Drosophila melanogaster: one gene and its partner. The gene in region 2 interacts genetically with the main gene of each other region. Each region holds a gene or a part of one and is shown on either strand. Other genes may lie near its edges. The genes, in order: Nipped-B and c(2)M.

Region 1 (5,074 bases), on a different chromosome or scaffold from region 2:
AAGGAAATCAAGGAGGATTAGGAAATCAAGGAGGAGCAGGCAATAAAGGAGGCCAAGGAAATCAAGGAGGAGCCGGAATTCAGGGAAGTGGTCAAGGATTCAGAGGTCGCAATGCTGGTAACAATCAAGGTGGCGGTTTCTCCGGAAGCCCGCAGAACCAGCAGACAACCGAAACCGTAGTCGGTAGTAGCGTGGTCCACGCCCTGGCGGAGGTGCAGGTGGCACGATGAACAGCACCAATATGGGTGGTGGTAGCGATGGAGATGGTGGTCCGCGCGGCTGTGAAGACTTCATCATTTAACATCGGTTTCGCAGGATTTCTGGGCCCACCTTTGAACTGGAAACAGTGGAAGTGCCCACGGAGACGAAGTTCTCCCATCGAAATCGTCTCTATGTGGGCAACCTGACCAATGACATCACCGACGCTGAGCTACGCGAGACGTTCAAGCCATACGAGCCATACGATTAGCGAGATCTTCTCGAACCTGGATAAGAACTTTAAATTCCTAAAGGTCGACTATCATCCCAATGCCGAGAAAGCTAAACGCGCCCTGGACGGATCGATGCGAAAGGGTCGCCACGATTCGCACCGAATGTCATTTTGCGGGTGATTTTGCGGAAGAAATCTCACACCGATACTTAAAACCATCGATAGTATCGATAGTTCCATCGATGGTTTTCCAGCTCTATTACAAACAATAATACCAACTGGGTCTAGTTTAAGAAAATTTCTGTTCCCACACTGAACTTTGCTCCTGAATTGTGTTTTCACTTGACGGACCCACGCGTCCGCGTCCTGACTTTGAGACTCCCGCCCATACACTGCTCGACTACCCTCGTGCACTTATTACTCACTACATGCTTTAGCTGCCTGGTCCAGAGGCGCTGCTGCCGTCTATAGGCTGTTTTATTTTCCCGTTACGCACGGCTCGCTAGAGTCCAAGGTCCACGTGTCCAGTAAACACCTTTACCGTTCGACCTCTGTGCCCTTGGCCGGTCTCTCCGCTTTACCGGGGTCCAAGGTCCAATCTTCAGCGTTTGACCTGACTCCTCCCGCATTACTGCTTTCTGCTCTGTTCTCCTGGACTTATTGTGAGTTTTAAGACCCCTCACAGTATTGCTGTTTTGCAGCAGGGGAGAGAAAAAGAATACGTATGCATATACGATATATACGTTGAGTATGCCCTAAGCCTTTGGTAAGCGTGGAAAGGCTGATTATGCATTTATATTTGGTGGCCGTAAATTGGGTGCCCACCTCCGCCGAATCCGCCTACCGACTCATTTAGTCTCCCTTTGTGAACCGGTATGTGCGCGCTTTGTAAGCAATTTTTTTAGGCCAATTTTTTTCACACTCTCGCACACTCAATGTAAGGTAAGTTTTTAGTAAGTGAGCAAACATGCTCAATAAAACGACGCTATGTGGCGCTTTTCGACTATAATTCGATTGATCGAGCTCTGCAGGTACCGGCTACGAGCTCCACATTTATTGCCAATTGTTCTTCAATCGTTGAATTATTAATTCACAAAATATTTCTCATGTATGAGAAGGACAATTGACTTTACCAAGACGCAAATTTGTTTTAAGCCTGTAGAAAATAATTTTACGTATAATTGCACAAAAAGGTAAGGTAATCATATATCATATATCAATAATTTGTTTTCCCAAGATCCATGATCTGGAAGAAATGAACTAAAACAAAATCGATTTATTCGCATACAATTGCACATCCTTGAATATTCATATCTTGTAAGCATACGCATTTCATATGGAAAAAGAGATTATGCGATATCGGTTGTTTTGCCGTTTTGAACGGCATTTCCTAATGAAGACCTTTTTATCGACTCGTTTTCACTGTTAACATTTATTGAAATAAGTATCGGGACAGGAGAAGTAGCTTCAAGTCGGTAATGCCCTAAATTGCAATAAAACATTTTTCTTTTAGAAATATCTTTCAAACATCCAAGCTCTCTACGTTTTATTGAGTTGGTGTGTAACTACATAGTCTGGAAAGGAGTATTATATATGAAGTATTAACGTTTCGGTCTGAAAAGGTATTTTTTTATTAAGTTTAGCGCGGCCACACTATCCTACAGGTCGGCCATATTCTTCAAACACTATTTCGCAAACTAAAAAATTACAAGTACTTATTATTGTAAATGTATAAGTTGGTATTTAATTAAAACGCAAAGGAGAACCGGAGTAATTCGTTTATATTGAACTGTGGCAATTCGTTAATAATTGTTGATCGCAATAACATAACGGTAAATGGTAATGCTACCGCAATTTTTTTAACTACGTAAGTAGTTGTTTATTATAAATCAATTTAAAGGGATTTATCTAATAGATTTTTAATTTATAAACTAAAAAGATAAGATAGTACATAAAGTGACTTATAATACAGCTGGACAACATCCATATATTTTAATATATTCATATAAACATTGTTTCCAATTACATTGTTTATCATGTTGATGAAATAATGTTTGGTTGTAGCGTAATGAATAATAGATTTATTTTTTTTAGCTCCTAGAATCAAAGTTGTGTTGTAATCTATCGGATTATCCTTACATTTAATATGGGGGAACGTGACAACCCAACCGTACCTGTAACAACATTAGCTGGTTTAACCAGCACTTCTGATTGTAAGTATTTTCTGTGCAAGAAAATATAATGTGTATGTACAAGTTTAAAAACTTTTAATATTTTTCTCGTTTAAATGCAAGTGCTAAGCGAGCTACCAGTGGCGGATTCGCTCCAGAGTGCTGCGTCCTTAAATAAATCTTTATTGTTCCATGCTTTGGTAGCTAACGAGTCTAGCAATTTACTTTCTATGCGAAACGAAAATCTAGTTCGACAATTGGTAACTGCCATTGAGAGAACAAACTCCGATAATATGTTAGTTGTTTAATTGATTGTATGTTTTGCTTTATTAAAATAACTTGTATTTTAGAGAGTTAATACATTGCCCAGTTCAAGACACAGCAACTAACTGTAGTACTTATCCTGAGCTTCTCCAGGGAATATATCATTTTCGCCCAGCGGTTTTTAACACTTCCATAAAAATACGTATGTTTTAATAATAAAAGCAACCATTTGTGTATTACATGAATTTCATCCACAGACTCTCCGGACCAACATACTGCTAATGCTCGATTAGAGGCAAAGAAAATGCAAATTGATTCCTATTCAATACCGGAATGTTATGCATCACCAACAAATTTGTCGATTTCAAATGAACATCAATTGCAAGACGCTCAAGCCTGCTTCAATCAGCTTACTAGGTGGCGTATATATTTTATTATTCTACAAGCCTTATATTTAATGCATTTTTCTGTTTTAGTATGACCTCAAAAGAAATCTTAGAAGAATTTTCACAAATAAATTTTAAGGAAAATGCAACAGAAAAAGATAAAATTGACGTTATTGAAAATTCAGATTTAAATGTGACTAAGATACTTTCACAAAATACTCTAAAAAAAAAGTCTAACACACCAGAAAGAAGTACGGTGCAATCAATACAAGAACAGTTTTTTATTCAGCAACAAGAAGCCAATTATAATTTAAAACATGATTTAAACCAAGTATCAACAAATGTTGGTCAAATTCAAAATATTTCTGATACTTTTCCCCAAGAGCCGTCAAATTTTAATTTAAATTCTGTAAATATCCCAAACATGTTATATGTACAAAGTCCACCTTTCACTGAATCAGAACCAACTCAAGCACACCACTCTTCAATTGAATATTTAAAAAAAAAAAAATCACAAATTCTTGACGTCAGCATTTTAAATCGACAACAGGTGTTAGAAAATACCAGCTTACATATTATTAATAAAAGTTCAACGTACCAAACGAACCAAAATGTATCAACAACTACATCGACATCTACTTCCTCAAGTGGCAAGTCCCAGGTCCGGGTATGTATAAATCGCCTTAGTATTGAGGATTCTCGCCTTATGCAACAGAGTATTAAAAAGTTTGTACAAAAGTCACCAGAATTGGCTAGAAGCATGGGGTTACTACAAGAAACGTGCCAGCAGCAACATGAAAACTTGAATATTATACCCACGAGTGCGGAAGAATGTGTATTAGAGAGTCGTGCTTCCAGTACAAATAATACAGTCAAAATCCCTATTGATACATTTTCTACTATAAAAGCCGATGAAAAACGATCCGCGAAAAGAAAACTTGCCATATCAATTGGTGACATCCCACCGGAACAAATATGTAAGTAATGAGTAATAATTTCCTTATACAAAAATTAATTGATCAAAATTATATTATAGTTTCAAAGCCTAAAATGCGTCGGGTCGAAAGAATTACACCTCTTTCGAACACAAAGTGTGTGAAGGAGGAAGTCACCCGTTCGCAAACATATCAACAATTTATTCGAAACATGGATCACATAATTGAAATATTAGACGATAGTGAATCTCCTAACTTTGACTCAGGTAAGTTCAAATACTCTGTTAAAGCTAGAGAATATTTATGAAACTTTAAGACCTATTATTAATTAGTTCGATTAATTGACACTTATGTTTACAAATATTTTTACCCGTTACTCTTAGAGTAAAGGGGTATACTAGATCCGTTGAAAAGTATGTTACAGGCAGAATAAAGCGTTTCCGTCTATATTAAGTATATATGTATATCCTTGATCAGGATCAATAGCCGATTCGATCTAGTCATATCACTCTGTCCGTATGAACGTCGAGATTGGAGGAAATATATGAACTAGAAGGTTGATATTCAGCATTCAAATTCTAGAGACAAAGATGCAGCGAAAGCTTGAATGCATTCCCCAATTAATATTGATGCAGCGAAATTGATGCAGCGAAAGCTTGAATGCATTCCCCAATTAATATTGGGGAATAAAATGAGAAATGTTTTTTAAATTGCTCTAAAGTGTGTGGTTGACCGGTTTGACAGCTTTAGGGCGTTAGAGTGGGCGTGGCAAAAAGTTTTTGGCAAATCGATAGAAATTTAAAAAATTAAAAATATGTGAAAAAACAGGAACATACTAAAATCGACTAAATACAGCAATTTCGTTATCTCTAAAGCTTGCCCTATAAC
Region 2 (5,479 bases):
GCGACAAGCCTTTTCAGTGTGAGATCTGCTCAAAGCAGTTTTCCGCGTTAGGCAATTTCCAGGCGCACCAGAAGATTCATTTAGGAGTGCGGGATCAGGTATGCTCGCTATGTCAGAAAGGTTTCTACACCGCCGGTGATCTCTCCAAGCACATGATAACCCATACGGGCATCAAAAACCATCACTGCGATGTCTGCGGCAAGGCTTTCAGCAGGCGAAGAGATATGCGGACTCATAAATTGAAGCTTCATCCTCTGGAGTCCAGTACAAACCATGATATAGTGGATGATGATGATGATGAGGCTATAGACACGGATCCCGTGGGTCTGGACACCCTCGATCACGCCCACTTCAAGTGTCCGGATTGCGACAAGGCATTTGATACGGCGGACAGCCTAAGTCTACATTTTCGCACGCATGCGGCGAATAATAATCTACTGAATTTGCCGTTGCCTCCTGCACCACCTATGTCGCATCACTACCATCACGATGCACTGCATCATCTCGGCCCACCGAATCCCGCCACACAAATGGGAATGGCTGCAATGGCTCACATGTTGGCACCGCCGCCGCCTCCACCGCCAACGCCAAGTGAAGGACGTTACACTATGCTGCACCACACGGCGGCACAAAGACTACATTATTAGAGTATAGCTACGAAGATTTATCTTAATCATAATTATTGTTTTAGATTATGTTTTGATATTGAACACTTTTATTTAGTTTGTCTATATAAAATGGAATATTTTGTCATGTTTGCTTTTATATCTTTACAATAAATACATGTAGAAATTTGGCAAGCACAGCTTCTATTAAGATTATTACTTAAATGCAAGAACTAAAATCACTAAAAACTCCCCGCGCGTACTTGTCGCATACTTGTCGTCGATATAAAAATGTCATTGTTGTATAAACTAAGCTTGATTTGTGTTTTCTGTAGGTAAAAATTGTAGTATCTCAATATTGGTTTGTTTGGTATTGGTATGCATCGTTGGTATCGGCTTAATCCAGTTTGAATATGTATATAAAAAGCTCAAAAATCAATCAGAGAACTATCATAAAATATTGCTTTTGACAACGGCCCGGATTGATTGATCCCAGAGATCGAAACCTCTCTACTTGAGCTTGGCTTTCAGCCACTCCTCGGTGAGTTCGTCTAGTTCGCGTATCTCGTAGACGCGTGTGAGATCTACTTCGCGCTGAAGAGCGCTCTTCGTGCAGGCGTACATCATCTGCAATTCGATCTGAAACAGAGAGTTATGAATTATAGAATATATTTGAGCATTGCTAAACTCCCACCTGGCTATCCCTGGGTGTGTAGAATATGAAGCACATTGGGTACGAAATGCGCTGATCGTCATGGACCATTTTATACGTATAGATGACATATCGGGGCTGGTGTCCTGGCAATGTATCCTGCAGCTCGTCCACCGAAATATCGTCGATGAACTCGTCCAGCACCACCGTTTGCTTCTCCCGGTCGACTTTCACTGCAAGGGACAATGGAGTGGTCATAAAAACTACACACATCTGTTACCATGACAATCAAGGCTTACATATCAAAGCCGCATTATTTTTGCTCTTGCTGAATCGAAACTTCTTCAATTCCTCCAGAACTTCGTTGCTTATGTCGCATATCTGGTTATCACTCTGTATGAAATCGATATAATTGATTAATGAATTGGAATCACCAAAGTTATCTGCTAACAACAATCGTCGATTGAAAAACAAAAACAAAAACACGCCCACACTCTATTAGTCATGTTTTCATTTTGGTAATTGATTTCCGACCCTATATACACTTCCTACCATAACTTTAGCTATGAAGTTAGGGATGCGATCTGTAAAGTGTGCTGCACTACCGAATTTTTGGCAGTTAATTGTAGGAATGCAATATCACTTGTCCTTAAGGAATCGTTTAAATACTGTCGTTTATTCTGAGTTTTGTTTTGTTGTTCCTGCAGTGAGACCGTTCACTGAACGCCAAATAATATTCTGTGCTGCATCAAAAATATGTGAAGTGTTGTTAAACGACGTTTCTGATAAATTAAAAAATAATAACAATATTTGCTAAAGGTTTTTTTTTCATTAAGCTTTTTTCTTTACGGCAACATTGGTATTATTTATGGAATTTATTAAAAATAATTGAAATGTATTTTTTAGATTGAAATAGGAACGCTCTTTTTTAAAAATGTTTTGTAGATATACTTAAAACTTATCATTATTTTATAGTAGGTAAAAATCGTTCGTATACGATATTTGGATCATGTTTGTCCTCTCTAGTGGCTGATGGACTGTCAAAAAAGTACCGTTACTTTAGGGTTGTTACAGAGAGCACTAACTTATAAATAGTTAATACTATAATCTATGTGCTTAATGTCGTAGTTACAATGAGCTTGAATTTATATGAGAGCAACATCCTTAATTCCTGCTGGAAAGCGGGAGGGCGCAAACCGAGGAAATCGGCATTTGGCCAACTTAATCGAAATGAGATCGCTGATGTGGATGTAGTCGCCTGCTGGTAATTAAATATTAAATATAATGAATTTTTTTAACATTTCATTATATTCAATTGTTTTCAACATTTATCTACATTTCAGCAAGCAAATCACCGAATTAATTGAGGAAAATGCATTAAGAAAACGCCAGAAACGATCCAATGTTTTGGCCGCAAGAAACCGGCAAAATGTTATTTTCAAGGACATTTCCCGCTTGGTTTTTGGAGTTGCGGATATTTTTAGATGCCAAGTGGATCTACTTTTGGGTAAGTATTAGTCCGAATATTACGTAACATTGATATATAATCACGAATTCTTACAGGGGACACGAAGGTATTACTTGACCAATGTACACGTACCAACTTGGATTACGTTCTCACCACAACAAAATCCGTAGTGGTCAACAAATCAGAGATTCGAATCCAACGCAAAGGAAAGCGGGTGATCACCAAGAAATCTAAAGTAACAGTATCAAAACGTCCCAGACTGCAGGAATCGGATCTATTGGATGAATTCTCACATGAATACTACGAGAAGATGCTATCCGAATGCCAGATGTGGCAAACGGAGTGCACACAACAGGTGGTGGAGGACCTGAACGAGGTTAGTCGTCAATATACTGTTGGACTGCTTCCTTATATGATTTCATTTTTCGCAAAAAGTCTATTGAACAACCCCGGAGTTGCACTCAGTCAAAGTCGTATCATTCCATTACAATCACCGAAGAGATTGAACTTCCCGAAGATCATAGCTTAATTATGCCATCAAATGGTTTTGGCGAAGCCGAGGGCGCGGACTTAACCATTTTTCAAGAGCTTTACCCCAAAGATGGCACACGGAACTCACGTAAGAATTCTCAATTCAATTGAAAATGTAATAAACTATTTTTTTGTATTATAGTAAAGCGACACTCAATAGCTCAGGATCCAACTGACATCTTACCGGATAAAATGCCCAGATTGGATGATTGCGATGTTTTCCAAGCTGACAATGCTATCATGACCCAAATCTTTCCGCATAACATTGAACCAGCTGAAGTAACTCAGATAGTTTGTGAACCGTCGTTGCCATCCGTTTTAAATTCTTTTGGAGAAATAACATTTAGCCACCCGAAAAATCGGAAAAGAAAGCTAATAGTAGACAAACGAATTGAATACACCCGGGAGCAGCTGGTGAAGCATAGACAGAAATATATGGAAGAATACCTTTCAAGGAATGTGATAGTGCCAAAATCCTCGGATTTACGGAAACCCCCTAAGGAACTTCTCTGTAAACTGTATAATAAGTAGGAGCCTTATACATTTTGCTATTTAAAACTTTTTAATTTTTTGATGTAGTGTAAGTTTTTTAGCTCTTCATAACCACTCCGGACCTAAGCTCAGTAATGAAGAAAAGGAATTCGAGGCAGAAAACACATTGAGAACCATATTTGGCTGCGAGTTTACCGAGAATCTTTCTAAAGAGATATTTGTGCGACCATCGCAGGCTACAAAATGTAGGGATAAAGCGGCACATATCTATCAGCCCGAACCGCTTGAAGTGGAAGACTGTGTGCAACCTCAACTTCAGCCACGTGATGATGTAAATCAGAATTATCATAATGAAATGAATGAGCACGGCATATACCGTGAGGATAATCATGATGGTGAGTTCAGCCAATGTTTACAACATGCTATCGTAAATAAAATATAATCTCATTGCAGATACCTACAGCGTAATGATGAGTCTCTTAAGCATTTGGCGTAATAATCCGAAAATCACGGGAATCGATGCCATTGATTTTATAAAAACGTTTGATAGTCGCATCAAGGCTTCGTTAGCCTTTCTCCATTTGTTGTGTGAGTTCGAAAAAGAACAAAATGTGTGTTGGAAATAACGTATAGCTTAAATTTCAGATCTTGTTCGAGACCATTTTATAGAGATATCAAAGCGAGCTAATTCGCTGGAAATGTACCAAATTACTCTTGGCAAAGAGTCCGCTAAGCTAATAGACAATCTTATGCTGAGTGAGACTCTGTGAATATTTTTAGATAATTTTTTTCAAGATTACCAAACAACTTTGTAGTTGACAATCTTCCACATTTTTGTTGTTGTTTTGTTTTCTGTTATTGCTATTGTGTTATAACATATAAGTTGAGCCAATCTCTAACCTAGATGGCTTTAATCTACTCTTTTTCCATACAATCTTATGGTACAATTGAGCAACGATGTCCTGGATAATTCGTTTCATTTCAAGAATTGAAAAATTCTATAGATGTTACTTGTTGCTGTCTATAAAAATAGTTTTTTTTTCATTATCATATTAGTTTCGTGTACCCATTAAAAGTTGTTTGTTATCTTTGTTACTATTACGTTATCGTAGCTATAATTCATTAACATTTGGAGTAATTCTCTAAACCGTAATTGTTGTCTTTGTTACAAAATCTCAATTTCTCTGACAACACCAAAAAATAAACAAGTTACAAAAACAAAGGAATACAGAGTGTTTGGCACAATTGCTTAAATTCCGATCTGCTGGGCCAGACCCGAATAGATGTGCAGCGTGCAGAATCCAATGACGGCCGCCACCAGCGCTTTAACAGCCACCGTTAGCCAAGGTCCAATGGTCAGAATGTGGAGCATGCCCTCCAGCCAGACGCCTTTGAAGACAGTCACCGCCAGAAGTAGACTAACCAGCGGCTTTAATGCCTTGTTCAAATCGTGACGGGTGAAGAGCCAGATCAGGGTGGCCGTAGTGATGTGCTGCACCAGAAGCACGTTCGATTCCAGACACTTGAGGATGTAGATCCAACTGAACTCGGTGCCTCGGGCACCCACCCACAGCATGATACCTCGGGAAAGAATCACTTCGGCGGTGGCCCCTGCGGAAGTATACGAAAATATTTAGTTTTTACTAAATTTTTGGAAGTTGTCATACATATATGGGTTGGGGTATTAAAGGTTGAGTAGGCATTGGCTCTTGTAACATTAATATATCTGAA

What was found.
Region 1: of c(2)M (region 2) and Nipped-B, changing one suppresses a phenotype caused by changing the other (phenotypic suppression), as found in Drosophila melanogaster (one study listed by BioGRID).

The regions. Positions count from the first base shown.
Region 1 is NT_033778.4:4,726,002-4,731,075, reverse strand, and holds the start of Nipped-B (Nipped-B), read left to right. Parts: upstream 1-2,058; 5' UTR 2,059-2,297; intron 2,298-2,524; 5' UTR 2,525-2,576; coding exon 2,577-2,643; intron 2,644-2,724; coding exon 2,725-2,896; intron 2,897-2,951; coding exon 2,952-3,067; intron 3,068-3,122; coding exon 3,123-3,282; intron 3,283-3,341; coding exon 3,342-4,228; intron 4,229-4,287; coding exon 4,288-4,452; intron 4,453-5,074. UniProt on the Drosophila melanogaster protein: Plays a structural role in chromatin. Involved in sister chromatid cohesion, probably via an interaction with the cohesin complex.
Region 2 is NT_033779.5:16,300,962-16,306,440, forward strand, and holds c(2)M (crossover suppressor on 2 of manheim), read left to right. Parts: upstream 1-2,302; 5' UTR 2,303-2,390; coding exon 2,391-2,521; intron 2,522-2,600; coding exon 2,601-2,764; intron 2,765-2,820; coding exon 2,821-3,101; intron 3,102-3,160; coding exon 3,161-3,344; intron 3,345-3,398; coding exon 3,399-3,783; intron 3,784-3,835; coding exon 3,836-4,143; intron 4,144-4,201; coding exon 4,202-4,336; intron 4,337-4,393; coding exon 4,394-4,518; 3' UTR 4,519-4,979; downstream 4,980-5,479. Other genes in the region: CG17328 (uncharacterized protein), read left to right, coding at 1-647; GMF (glia maturation factor), read right to left, coding at 1,116-1,244, 1,300-1,490, 1,557-1,650, 1,810-1,812; CG5861 (uncharacterized protein), read right to left, coding at 4,998-5,359.